3 linked regions of the Drosophila melanogaster genome follow. The protein of the gene in region 3 interacts with the protein of the main gene of each other region in a pairwise test. Each region holds a gene or a part of one and is shown on either strand. Other genes may lie near its edges. The genes, in order: Ptp61F, CG17560 and Mpi.

Evidence for each region.
Region 1: the proteins of Mpi (region 3) and Ptp61F interact in a two-hybrid assay, tested with the Drosophila melanogaster proteins (one large-scale study listed by BioGRID).
Region 2: the proteins of Mpi (region 3) and CG17560 interact in a two-hybrid assay, tested with the Drosophila melanogaster proteins (one large-scale study listed by BioGRID).

What each region holds. Positions count from the first base shown.
Region 1 is NT_037436.4:1,348,656-1,352,410, forward strand, and holds the start of Ptp61F (protein tyrosine phosphatase 61F), read right to left. Parts: upstream 1,945-3,755; 5' UTR 1,822-1,944; coding exon 1,717-1,821; intron 888-1,716; exon of another isoform or gene 544-887; intron 1-543. Other genes in the region: CG9166 (uncharacterized protein), read left to right, coding at 2,531-2,816, 2,874-3,134, 3,198-3,376. UniProt on the Drosophila melanogaster protein: Non-receptor protein tyrosine phosphatase. Required for maintaining dock/dreadlocks in its non-phosphorylated state. Negative regulator of InR/insulin-like receptor signaling through dephosphorylation of tyrosines when recruited by dock/dreadlocks.
Region 2 is NT_033777.3:16,615,918-16,619,672, forward strand, and holds the start of CG17560 (uncharacterized protein), read left to right. Parts: upstream 1-2,032; 5' UTR 2,033-2,063; coding exon 2,064-2,139; intron 2,140-2,189; coding exon 2,190-2,302; intron 2,303-2,359; coding exon 2,360-2,870; exon of another isoform or gene 2,871-2,925; coding exon 2,926-3,637; intron 3,638-3,692; coding exon 3,693-3,755. Other genes in the region: CG17562 (uncharacterized protein), read left to right, coding at 1-247, 305-1,016, 1,076-1,163.
Region 3 is NT_033777.3:9,757,512-9,761,266, forward strand, and holds Mpi (mannose phosphate isomerase), read left to right. Parts: upstream 1-2,110; 5' UTR 2,111-2,214; intron 2,215-2,338; 5' UTR 2,339-2,390; coding exon 2,391-2,967; intron 2,968-3,020; coding exon 3,021-3,634; 3' UTR 3,635-3,697; downstream 3,698-3,755. Other genes in the region: Alg12 alpha-1,6-mannosyltransferase, read left to right, coding at 1-138, 192-563, 623-1,700.

The sequences.
Region 1 (3,755 bases), on a different chromosome or scaffold from region 3:
GTTCAATGGAAATGATTAAACATAAAGCAAAGCATAGCAAAACAATACGGTCCGAATGCGTCACTGCGTTTTTGGCTACAGTCCAAATCCCCTATGATGGGCTATCATATGGCAAATGTCAAATAAATTGGAAGTTTTAATGATAACCACAAAATTAGTTGTACCGTTTATGTTCACACATATTTGCGATTTATTAATTCTTAGAAGAATGTGTTTTGGAATTTCTATAATAAAGACAGATAAGTGCCTATAATGGATTATAATTTTCTTCAGAAATGTAGTAGCATGCACAGCTAAATGTTATTAAAGTAAAAATTGGGGTAGGTCGGTCTTATTCATAAAGTAATCATCGAAAAATGTGATGTTTTCACATTGATCATAGTTGTTTTTCATTGCAACAAAAATGAGTCAACGTTTACATGCTATGGAACATATAAAATTCAGCGAATTTAGATGAATTTCACGAAAGTAATATTATCAAGCTGAAAACTATTTATGATTTAATGAGAAAATATGATTAAAGAAAGTTTATTGAAATCTCACTTTGGCCTAACAAGATCGTCTTAGTCAAGTTGCACTGTATTTCAGTGGAAATGGCTGGTAGCTATTTTCCAGTCAGTTTCGACGCACAATTGCGGGCTGCCTTCCAGTTAGCTGGAAAATTAGATTATCCTCGACGCGAGCACAAAGGATGACGAACGAGGATGCCGAGGAGCGGGTCCAGAAACGAGATATTTCTACACACGACCATATACTGTGTCATCCTAACTGCGGAGTGGAATTCCGTGAAATCCCAATTCAAGTGAGTGGAAGCGCTGAAAGAGGCACAGAGGAACAGAGGAGGAGGAGTAGCAGCTGAAGACAGTTCGCCGGAACTGGCTATAAAGAACGAGTGGAGGTGGAGGAGGAGAGAAGAAGGGGCAAGGAGAGGATTCCGACTCCAATTCCGACAGGCAACCAGAAGCAGCCCAAAGCGAGACTCAAAAAACCAGACGCATGCCCTTTGTGCCCCTGTGTGCGTGAGCCTCTCTCTCCTGCTCAACGCGAGCGGGTGTGTGTGTGTGTGCGCGCGTTAGAGGAGTTCTTCAGTGGAGAGCACTGTCACCCCTCCACGAATTGTATTTTGTTTTTGGGGGACGGCAATCACAAACACAACGAGCTTCCCAGAAATCGCCTCCAATTTGATTTGGCCAAACGAGAATTCGCGGAATAGCTCAAGCGCTCTATTGATAGTCAAAGGAAAGCGTTTTTGGGGAAAGGTATGGCAGAATAACAAGCATAAATATGCCAAATACAGGCCAATACACACGCACGAACTCACACACACACGCGTTCGATGGAGAATGCAAAGTAAAGTGCAGCAGGTGTGCGTGTATGTGTGTTGGTGCTATTCTGTTTGTACATTCTTTTCCATGGGTTTTTGTTTTTGGCCAAAGCCTGGCTGTTAAAGCAACAACTGCAACAACAACAGCACTGACACACAATACACACGCACACACGTAAAGCTCGCCGCTGCACTGGTGTTGGTGGTGGAGGCATCTGCAGAAGCCTTTTGCGCACTCATCACATTTTCGTGGAAATCGGAGCGCCAAGGAGCTGTGGAAAGGTGTATACTCCGCATCCGTTGCGAATCCTTGGCGAATCGAACTGTGCCACAATCATTCGTCCAGTTTGTAACCAGTTTTCAGTGCAGTCGCAGTTGTTGTTGCCAATTACCTTGTAGAAGCGATGCCATTGCGGCCCCTTGTCCTTGTACTCCGCCTCGATTTGCAGACGGGCAGCGGCCGCCGACCCACTCCCACTCGTTTTCTGCTCGCTCATTGTGCACACTTTGCTGCGATTTGTTCCGATTTAATAACTTTTAATTTGGTTATCAGGCGGCTGGTTAATTTCAGAGGAGAACTAGAGCTGGACAACTCACGACAGTGTCGATGTATCGAATATTTGAGCTTGCGAAATACTATCGGTATTTGCAGTGCGATACCGAGTGATAGTTCGATTGTACATCACTATATTGATCGCATTACATATTATATTCTCTTATGGTGATTCCTATTTACAAATGCAAGCCAAACACAATATATTGTATCTGCGACATTATTATTCTGAAATATTAGTTACGTCTATCGATATTTTCACCATCAAATAATGTGACCAGGCGCTGTAGAGCAATAGAACACATACTGAAACTAAAGTGCTTGCGCAGAAATTAGAACTTTACTGAAACATAATATAACATTCGGGATAAGTTTTCTATAATTTATATAAAATTAAATACTTAACTAAAGACATAACAATATAAAAACAATTGAAATAAAATATTTTAAATAAAAATAAAATAAAAAAAATAAAATAAAATATTTTAAAAGTAAAATAGAAAAATTCTGATAAGAAAATTGGGTTCAAATACTTTAAAATACCGATATTACAATCGCTCATCGTTGACCAGTGTTATCGAGTAATACCAAAAGTATCGAATCAACAACTGTTACCCAATTTATTAATAACAACAGAAAGAAGCCAAAGCAAAATGCTGACCCGCGTGTTCCGCCTAGTGCACGACAGGCGCCTGAGTGTGCCTGTCCTGCGTTGCTTCCACCACGAGTTCTCCAAGCCGCCACAACAGGCAGCGAAGGGCCAGGAAATCGAAGGCAATCCCGAAAAGACTTTGGTTGCCGGCGTGCAAGACAAGTACAAAATATTCCGCGATGAGGAAGCCACGGAGATTTTTGATGTGGAAGAGGCACGCCACCAGGAGCAGCAACTTCCAGAGCCGGACCTGGAGCTGGATCACTATTACGGCCTCAATTTAAAGCGTAGGTTGGCAATCGTCCAGGGAGAGCAGAAATTTAAGCCTTTGTTTCCCTTTGCAGGAGGTGTTCGCGGAGTGTTCGACGTTGAGGACTTGGTGGAGCTGCTCCGCAAGGAGAATGTGGACGACATATTCGTCTGCTACGTGCCGGAGAACCTGAAGTACGTTGACCACCTGGTGGTTTGCAGTGGTCGCAGTTACCGACACATGCTGTCCACCGCGGAGTTCGTGCGCCGAATGTTCAAGATCAAGCGGGGCAAGGGTGACATATTGCCGCGCATCGAGGGCGATAAGAGCCGGGATTGGATGGCCATGGACTTGGGTGGGTATTGAAATAAATGCATATTCCGGTTTCTCCGCTCTAACACGTTCCGTTTCCTTTTAGGCAACATTGCCCTGCACATATTTTCACCGAGTGCTCGCGAGGAATACGATCTGGAGTCGCTGTGGGCCATTGGCTCCGAATTCGACCGCGAAAGCCAAAAACCCACCAATCCCTATGGCGATATTTTCATGGCTCAAACACCCCTTTCTTTCGTAGACAAATCGAAACTAAAGACGTAAAATAATACATTTCACTATTAATAAAAAAAAACTCTTTAGAGCTGCGTACGTGCGAGATCACTTGCAGTGTGATTTGGAAAAACAATAAGGTATGAATAAATATTTCGTGTCAGACTTGTTATTCTCGTGTCACGGCCAAAATAACTATGCGATCGCCCATCTCTAGTTTCTTACTGGGTGCATTCGCTCAGGCAGCCATCTTTAAAATAACTGTAATTTTTATTAACATCGAGCTCTAATAGGGCAATAATAGCCATAATCCGTCAGAATATGACAGCAGTATTTCCAAACAGGAGCTAAATTCTTTTGTAGATGGCCAAGCGACGCTAGCGCCACCTATTTCTGAAAATCTGATAATAACAAGTGCGCACTAAAGTAT
Region 2 (3,755 bases), 6.9 Mb from region 3:
TCGACCGCCTTCTCCAACTGCGTTATCTACAACATCAAGGAAAATTTCTACCCCGAGCATCTCAACTGCAGTTCCGATAAGGTGCTTGCAATGGCAGAGCTGATGAGTGACGAGCTACTGGACAACATGGAGCAAGCGCTCCTTGGCTCGTTTCCCAACACGTACACGTACACCAAAGCACTGGCGGAGGATGTGATCCTGAAGGAAGCGGGTGGCTTGCCACTTTGCATCTTCCGACCGGCAGTCAGTAAGTAATCCTTATTACGTACTCTGTCTACATCTTGTCATTTCTACCCTTACCCAGTTATTGCGGCCCACAAGGAACCCATCTCCGGCTGGATAGACAACATGTACGGACCAATGGCAATTCTTTTCGGGGTGGCCCGTGGAGTACTGCGCATTGCCACCATCGATCACCATGCCGAGGCAAGCCTGGTGCCCGTGGATTATTGTGCCAATTTGACTCTGGCCTGTACCTGGAAGACCATTGTGGAAGGTAACGAGATGGGAACACAAGAAACTCCTCTCATCTACCAACTGGCGCCCATTGAGCAGAACAAGATCACCCACGGGGAGTTCATTCGACATGCTCTCGATGGACGCACCAACTGCCCGCTGACAAAGATGATATGGTATCCCTTCATCCACTGCATCACAGTGCCGTGGCTCTTCCCCCTGGCAGCTTTCTTCTATCACACCCTGCCAGCCTACTTTTTTGACCTGGCTCTCTGGCTGAGTGGCCGGAAGCCCAGACTAGTAAAGGTTTACCAAAAGATCCACAAGACTCTCGGCATCCTGGGCCCATTCGCCTGCAAAAGCTGGCGCTTTGACATGCGGAATACGGATCACTTGAGGCAGCAGATGTCGGAGGAGGATCGAAGGATATACTACTTTGATATGGTCAGCCTCAACTGGAAGGAATACTTCGTTCAAGCTCTGCGTGGCATGAGACAGTTCTTGGGAAACGAGGCACCCACCCCAGAGTCCATTGCACAGGGCAAGAAGCTCATTAAGCGGTAGTTTCCATTGTCTTTTCTGTTTCTTACAAAGTGTATTACATCTAATTGTATTTTAGTTTAAAGCTGCTCCATCATATCCTGCAAGGTGTCCTTTGCTTTGTGGCACTACTAGCACTGTGGTCGTTGGTAAGGATCCTAGTCTGATTCAGCAGTACATAGGCAACCCACCGACTCACTTTCGTAATTGCGTCATGGAATTAAATAAATATATACAACACATAGACATGTCTTTTATTTAATTACTTGAATGGTGGTAGCTATAAGGTTTTTTCCTCACGAGCCGATCTAAATAGGTGCACTGAGTGACACAATCGATTGCATAAAGTATACGCAACTGGTTACATCAAGAAGTGATATATATACAATAGTATGCACCTATTATAATGTAATAATTTTTTAATTGAAATCGCTCTCTGGTATTCTATTGATCAAACCTTATTGAAATAAATAGGCCATAAATTGGTATATAAAATGTTATGATATAACATATATATGTGTGGTTCCTATACAGAATACAAGGTCTAGCACATATACGGTGTAGTCACGAGGATACTTATATGCGATTACGTAACGACTGATCGGGGACTTCTTACACGTGCCCATACAAAATTTATATACGCGGAAATACAAAGTCATCGCATGCAATTTATCATTTACCATTCTTGTTTACCATTCACACATATACTAATTTGAATTTCACGCAAGAGATGGCAGCTCTATACTAAGTCTCGAATCAACTTTAAAATTTTAAATTAAATGCACCAAGGTTATTTTCATTCGTAAGCAAAAATATAATTAATAAATGCAACTAGGCCTTTAATCGAAGCAACACAAATAATTATCTATACCCAAAAAATAAACTTTCGCTGAGTTTAGAGCACGAGCTCCTCCCTAAAACGGGAGACCATTGGGTGTCTTGAATATGCTGAACTCGACCTTTGTTGGGTGTAACTTATAGATTCCCAAATAAATAGAAGCGCTAGTTTGGAATCACTTTTCAGTTCACTGGCTCGCAACGCGTTCAAGACCCTTACTCGGAACAAAATGGATAGCGAGATACAAGGATTCTTTAAGAACAAGACCGTGTTCCTTACGGGTGGCACCGGATTTCTGGGAAAAGGTACCCCACTCCTCGAATCTTTTCGCAAGCTTATGGAGTGTGCTTTTCAGTGATCATTGAGAAACTACTGAGGACCACGGAAGTCAATCGGATTTACTCCTTAATTAGACCTAAGCGGGGAGTGCCTATCGAGGACCGAATCACAACCTGGGCAAAGGATCCGGTGAGTGATATTCAGTGCTAGAGTGACAGATGTGTCCTGACCGCTCGTGTTTCGAAGGTGTTTGAGGTGCTCCTAAGGACGAAGCCAGATGCCTTGCAGCGAGTTTGTCCCATCGCGGGCGACTGCTTGGATCCGGATCTGGGTATAAGCCAATCGGATCAAAGGATCCTGACCGCCGAGGTGCAGATTGTAATCCATGGAGCTGCAACCGTGCGATTCGACGAGGCTTTACACATCTCCTTGGCCATCAATGTACGAGCCACTCGTCTGATGCTTCAACTGGCCAAGCAGATGACCCAGCTGGTGTCCTTCGTTCACGTATCCACTGCCTACTCCAACTGCGTGGTGCATGACATCGCAGAGCGATTCTATCCGGAGCACTTGAACTGCAGTTCGGATAAGATCCTAGCCGTGGGTGAACTGGTAAGCAATAAATTACTGGACGCGATGGAACCTAGCCTTGTTGGCTCCTTCCCCAACACGTACACCTACACCAAAGCCCTGGCCGAGGATGTGATCCTGCGGGAGGCGGGCAACCTGCCACTGTCCATCTTCCGACCGGCGATCAGTAAGTGCACCAGATTGGGAATAACCTTCAAAAGCTGCAACTTAAATATTCCCAGTAATGTCCACTTACAAGGAGCCCCTGGTTGGATGGGTGGACAACCTATTCGGACCACTGGCCCTCTGCTTCGGCGGAGCTCGCGGTATAATGCGGGTCACCACGGTGGACCCTTCAGCCAAGATCAGCCTAGTTCCCGCTGACTACTGCGTAAATGTGGCATTGGCTTGCGCTTGGAGAACGGCGGAGATATCCGTACAGAATGGAAAGGTCACGACGCCCCCCATTTACGCGTTTGCACCTAGCGAGAATAACCTGATGAGCTACGGAAACTTTATCAAATCATCTATTATCTATCGGGACATCATACCGCTAACCAAGATGCTGTGGTATCCCTTCGTCCTGTGCATCTCCACCACATCCCTATTTCCGCTGGCCGCCTTCTTCTTACACACCCTTCCCGGCTACTTCTTCGATCTGCTGCTGCGCCTCAAGGGCCGGAAGCCCATACTCGTGGATCTGTATCGGAAGATTCACAAGAACATCGCCGTCCTGGGTCCGTTCTCCAGTACCACCTGGAACTTTGACATGACCAACACAATGGAGCTAAGGGAAGCGATGTCCAAGCAGGATCGCAACCTTTACGACTTCGACATGGCCCAGTTGGATTGGAATGACTATTTCAAGGCCGCCATGTATGGAATGCGTCTCTATATTGGCAAGGAGAAACCCACCGCGGAGTCCATTGCCAAGGGTCTGAAGCTGAGGATGCGGTGAGTTTCAAAATGACACTTTCCAATCGCTTTAAGTAACATAAAATGTTTGCAGCCTGAAGGTCCTTCACTATGCATTCGCATCCTCGCTGGTTGCTTTAGCTGGTTACATCCTGTA
Region 3 (3,755 bases):
CTATTGGCTACGCGACCAGCACAAGCCATTCATCATCTGCTCTGGTATATCCATTCTCGTCTTTCGATCCGAGTTGGCGTTATTTTTGGGTATTTTGCTGGTGGTGAGCCTCCTACGGCGAAAAGTTTCCATTGACGGGTGAAGATTATCAATCATTGCATACTATTCAATGCTAATATTTGTAAAAATAGGCTACTCAAAGTTGCACTGCCGGCGGGCGTCTGCATTTTGGCTGCCACAGTGCTGGTGGACTCGTTCTTTTGGCGCCGCCTGCTTTGGCCCGAGGGTGAGGTGCTATGGTACAACACCGTACTCAATAAGAGCTCCAACTGGGGTACCTCGCCTTTTCTATGGTACTTTTACTCCGCCCTGCCACGTGCCATGGGTGCATCGCTGGTGCTCGTGCCCATCGGCGTCGCATTGGAGCCACGTATTCGGCCATTGGTCCTGTCGGCTCTCCTCTTTGTCCTTTTGTACTCCATTCTGCCGCACAAGGAGCTGCGCTTCATCATCTACGTGTTTCCAGTTCTCAACATTGCTGCGGCTTGCGCATGCCAACGAATGTAAGCGTCGTATTATTTCATTAGTAAAATGCATTTCTATTATTGGTTTCCTCGTTTAGTTGGATGAACAGCGCCAAGTCAACGTGGCATAGCTTTCTGGCGCTCGCCTGTGGAGCCCATCTCCTGCTAAATGTCTTTATAACGCTCTTCCTGCTTGTCATTTCGGGCACCAACTATCCGGGCGGAGCAGCCCTCTCCCGATTGCATCGCTTGGAAGCTGGCACCTCAAACGTTTCCGTTCACATTTCCAACTTGGCCGCCCAGAGCGGCGTGTCGCGTTTTATGGAAATAAATAATGAATGGACTTACAGCAAGGACGAGACAATGAACTATACCCAGGCGGATTTGGTTGCATACACACATCTTTTGGTCGAGGCGAAGAACAAGCAAAACACTGAACTATGGGCATCGCTCCAAAACGAATTCGATACGCTAGAGTTTATTGACTGCTTCAACAGCATCGGCATTCAATACAATTCTCTGCTGCCGGTGCGAATAAAGACGAAGCCTTGCATTGGTATACTTAAAAAGAGACCAGTGGCTCCAAAAGAGGCATCAAAAACAAAAGAGAAAATAGCAAAAACTAAGACATACCCGGTGGAAAAAGAAACGTTATTAGCTCCTGTTAAAGAATTTCCAAAAGTGATAGGAGATCCGAAAATGAAATCCAGGTTACAAGTCGATGCGGATGATGATGATGGCATCGTGTCCACTGTGGAGGAAATGTCGCTAGAACTGGAAACGGATACTGAGCCCCATGCTGGGGCAGAGACCATCGAAACGCCCTTGAAGGAGATCAATTTCCAGGAGCTGAGAACCCTCGCCTTGGGACAGGCAACCAAGAAGTCGAGAGCAGCCACCAAGATGAAGATTCGACAAATTATCGAGCAGCACTACCGCGCCAAGGGCAAACAAATCGAAAACGACTCCGCAGAGACCCAAAAAACGCAAGGAAAGGCTGGATTACGGCAATCCGTAAAGTCCATCATAAAGCAGGAGAAGATCAAGGAAATGATCGAGCAGATCGCTACGATGGATCTGACACGCATCTGCGATTTGGAAAGGACTTCGACCAAAGATTGCTTAAAACAGGTCATAGACAAAATAGATGACAGCGAGGGTTTGAAATCCAAATGACAAAACCTATCACACTTTAAACTGTTTTATTAAATTAAGCTAAGCGTTTGTTAATGGCACAGTTGTAAAAATTTAAAATAAAAGCAATAATAAAAGCGAATCAAAATTTCAGGAATTTCCTATATCTTGATAGAAAATTAAGTCGCGGCCAAATCGCACCCGAATCGCGTCCGAATCGCGCTAAAGTCGCCTCAAAATCCCCCCTAAATCGCATCTAATCGCGCCTAATTAAGCTCAAACGCTCTAACTAAACATAAATTGCCAAATAGAGTATGACACATTACGGCACGTCGGATATATTTTTTGCTGACCAAAAATAAATATAAATTAAATTATAGAGTATTAAAGTATCGTCATATATGTAGAACTAGTCATTAGGGATATCGCAATATCCCCATCTCTAGCTTAAACGCGATATATGTATTTAAAGTAACAGTGGTGGAAACACACCAAATTATTTCGGCAATAAAATCGAAATTACAAACTTCCAGAAAGCTGTTATCTATATAAAAAGGTGTGATAAGCCTTATGTCGCAGGTGTATCAACGCTAATCCACTTAATGGCGCTTTCACCACAGACCAACCCCTCTCACACGTATCCATTCACCAGCAATCATATGTTTTCTTATCACCTTCAGGTTGACCTCAAACGCAGTACGGCGAATTTTGGAAGGCAATCGGTGCGGTGAAATGGAGCTGACTGGATGGGTGAAGAACTACGGCTGGGGCCGCAAGGGCATCAACTCGGCGGTGGCCCAGCTGGCAATGGCCAATGATCCGGACTTTCGTCTGAACGAGGAGGAGACCTATGCGGAAATGTGGATGGGCACGCATGTGTGCGGTGTGTCCGTGGTCAAGGAAACCGGAGAGACTCTGGACCGAGTGCTAAAGAAGGACCTTTCATACCTGTTCAAGGTGCTAAGCATCAACAAGGCACTCAGCATCCAGGTGCATCCGAACAAGTGCGAAGCGGAGCGCCTGCACAAGGAGCGCCCGGATATCTACAAGGATCCCAATCACAAGCCGGAACTGGCCATTGCCCTCACGCCCTTTCTGGCCCTCGTGGGATTTATGTCAGCCGAAGATATCAGGGACTACATCGATGAGTTCCAGCCGCTGAGTAAACTCATTGGCAAGGAGGCTGTGGATCAGCTCCATGACTCGACCAACTCGGAAAGCGTTAAGTTGTGCTACGAGAAGCTGATGAAGACCGAAGAGCCGGTGATAGCCAAGTGCATCAGTGAAATAGCCAAGGATTACCAAAACGGTGAGCCATTCTGTGCAATCTATGAAAGATTTGTAAACATTCCTCTAAAATAGAACTGAAATCCAACGATCTGCTTGAGGTGTTCACCAAGGTCAACAAAGACTTCCCCGGCGATGTGGGCGTACTGTCCCTGTTCTTCCTCAACCTAATCCGCCTGCAGCCCGGCCAGGCGATCTACTTGGGCGCGAACGAGATTCATGCCTACCTGGACGGCGACTGTGTGGAGTGCATGGCTTGCTCGGACAATGTGATACGGGCGGGCCTAACGCCCAAGTACAAGGATGTGGACCAGCTGCTGGAATCTGTGATCTTCGAAAGTTCGTATAAGGATCGCAAGGAGTTCATTCCGTACCGCATAGATGACCAGGTCCAGGTCTATATTCCGCCAGTATCCGACTTTGCAGTGATAAATGTGAATATCGAACACTCGCTGGAGTCGTACAAGCTGGAGATACAAGCATTCGGCTCCATATTGATAGTTCTAAAGGGATCCCGCATTCTTAAATTGAAAACCCAGCAGGGAGATAAGGAGATCTTGGTAACCCGCGGCAGCATTGTGTACATTCCCGTCGAGGCGGCGCCGGAAATCGAATTCGCCCAGTCCGACGATTGCGACGAGGACTTCAGCGGCTACATAGCAACCAGCAACTACTTTCGAGTGCCCTAAAATTCTCAGTTAATCGAAATATTTTGTACAGTGCAATAAATCCATTAACACGTTTTGGTGGTGAATTATTTTGTTTATATTTACTTGCAATTAAGAGCTAAGAATGTAAGCTAAAGTGGCA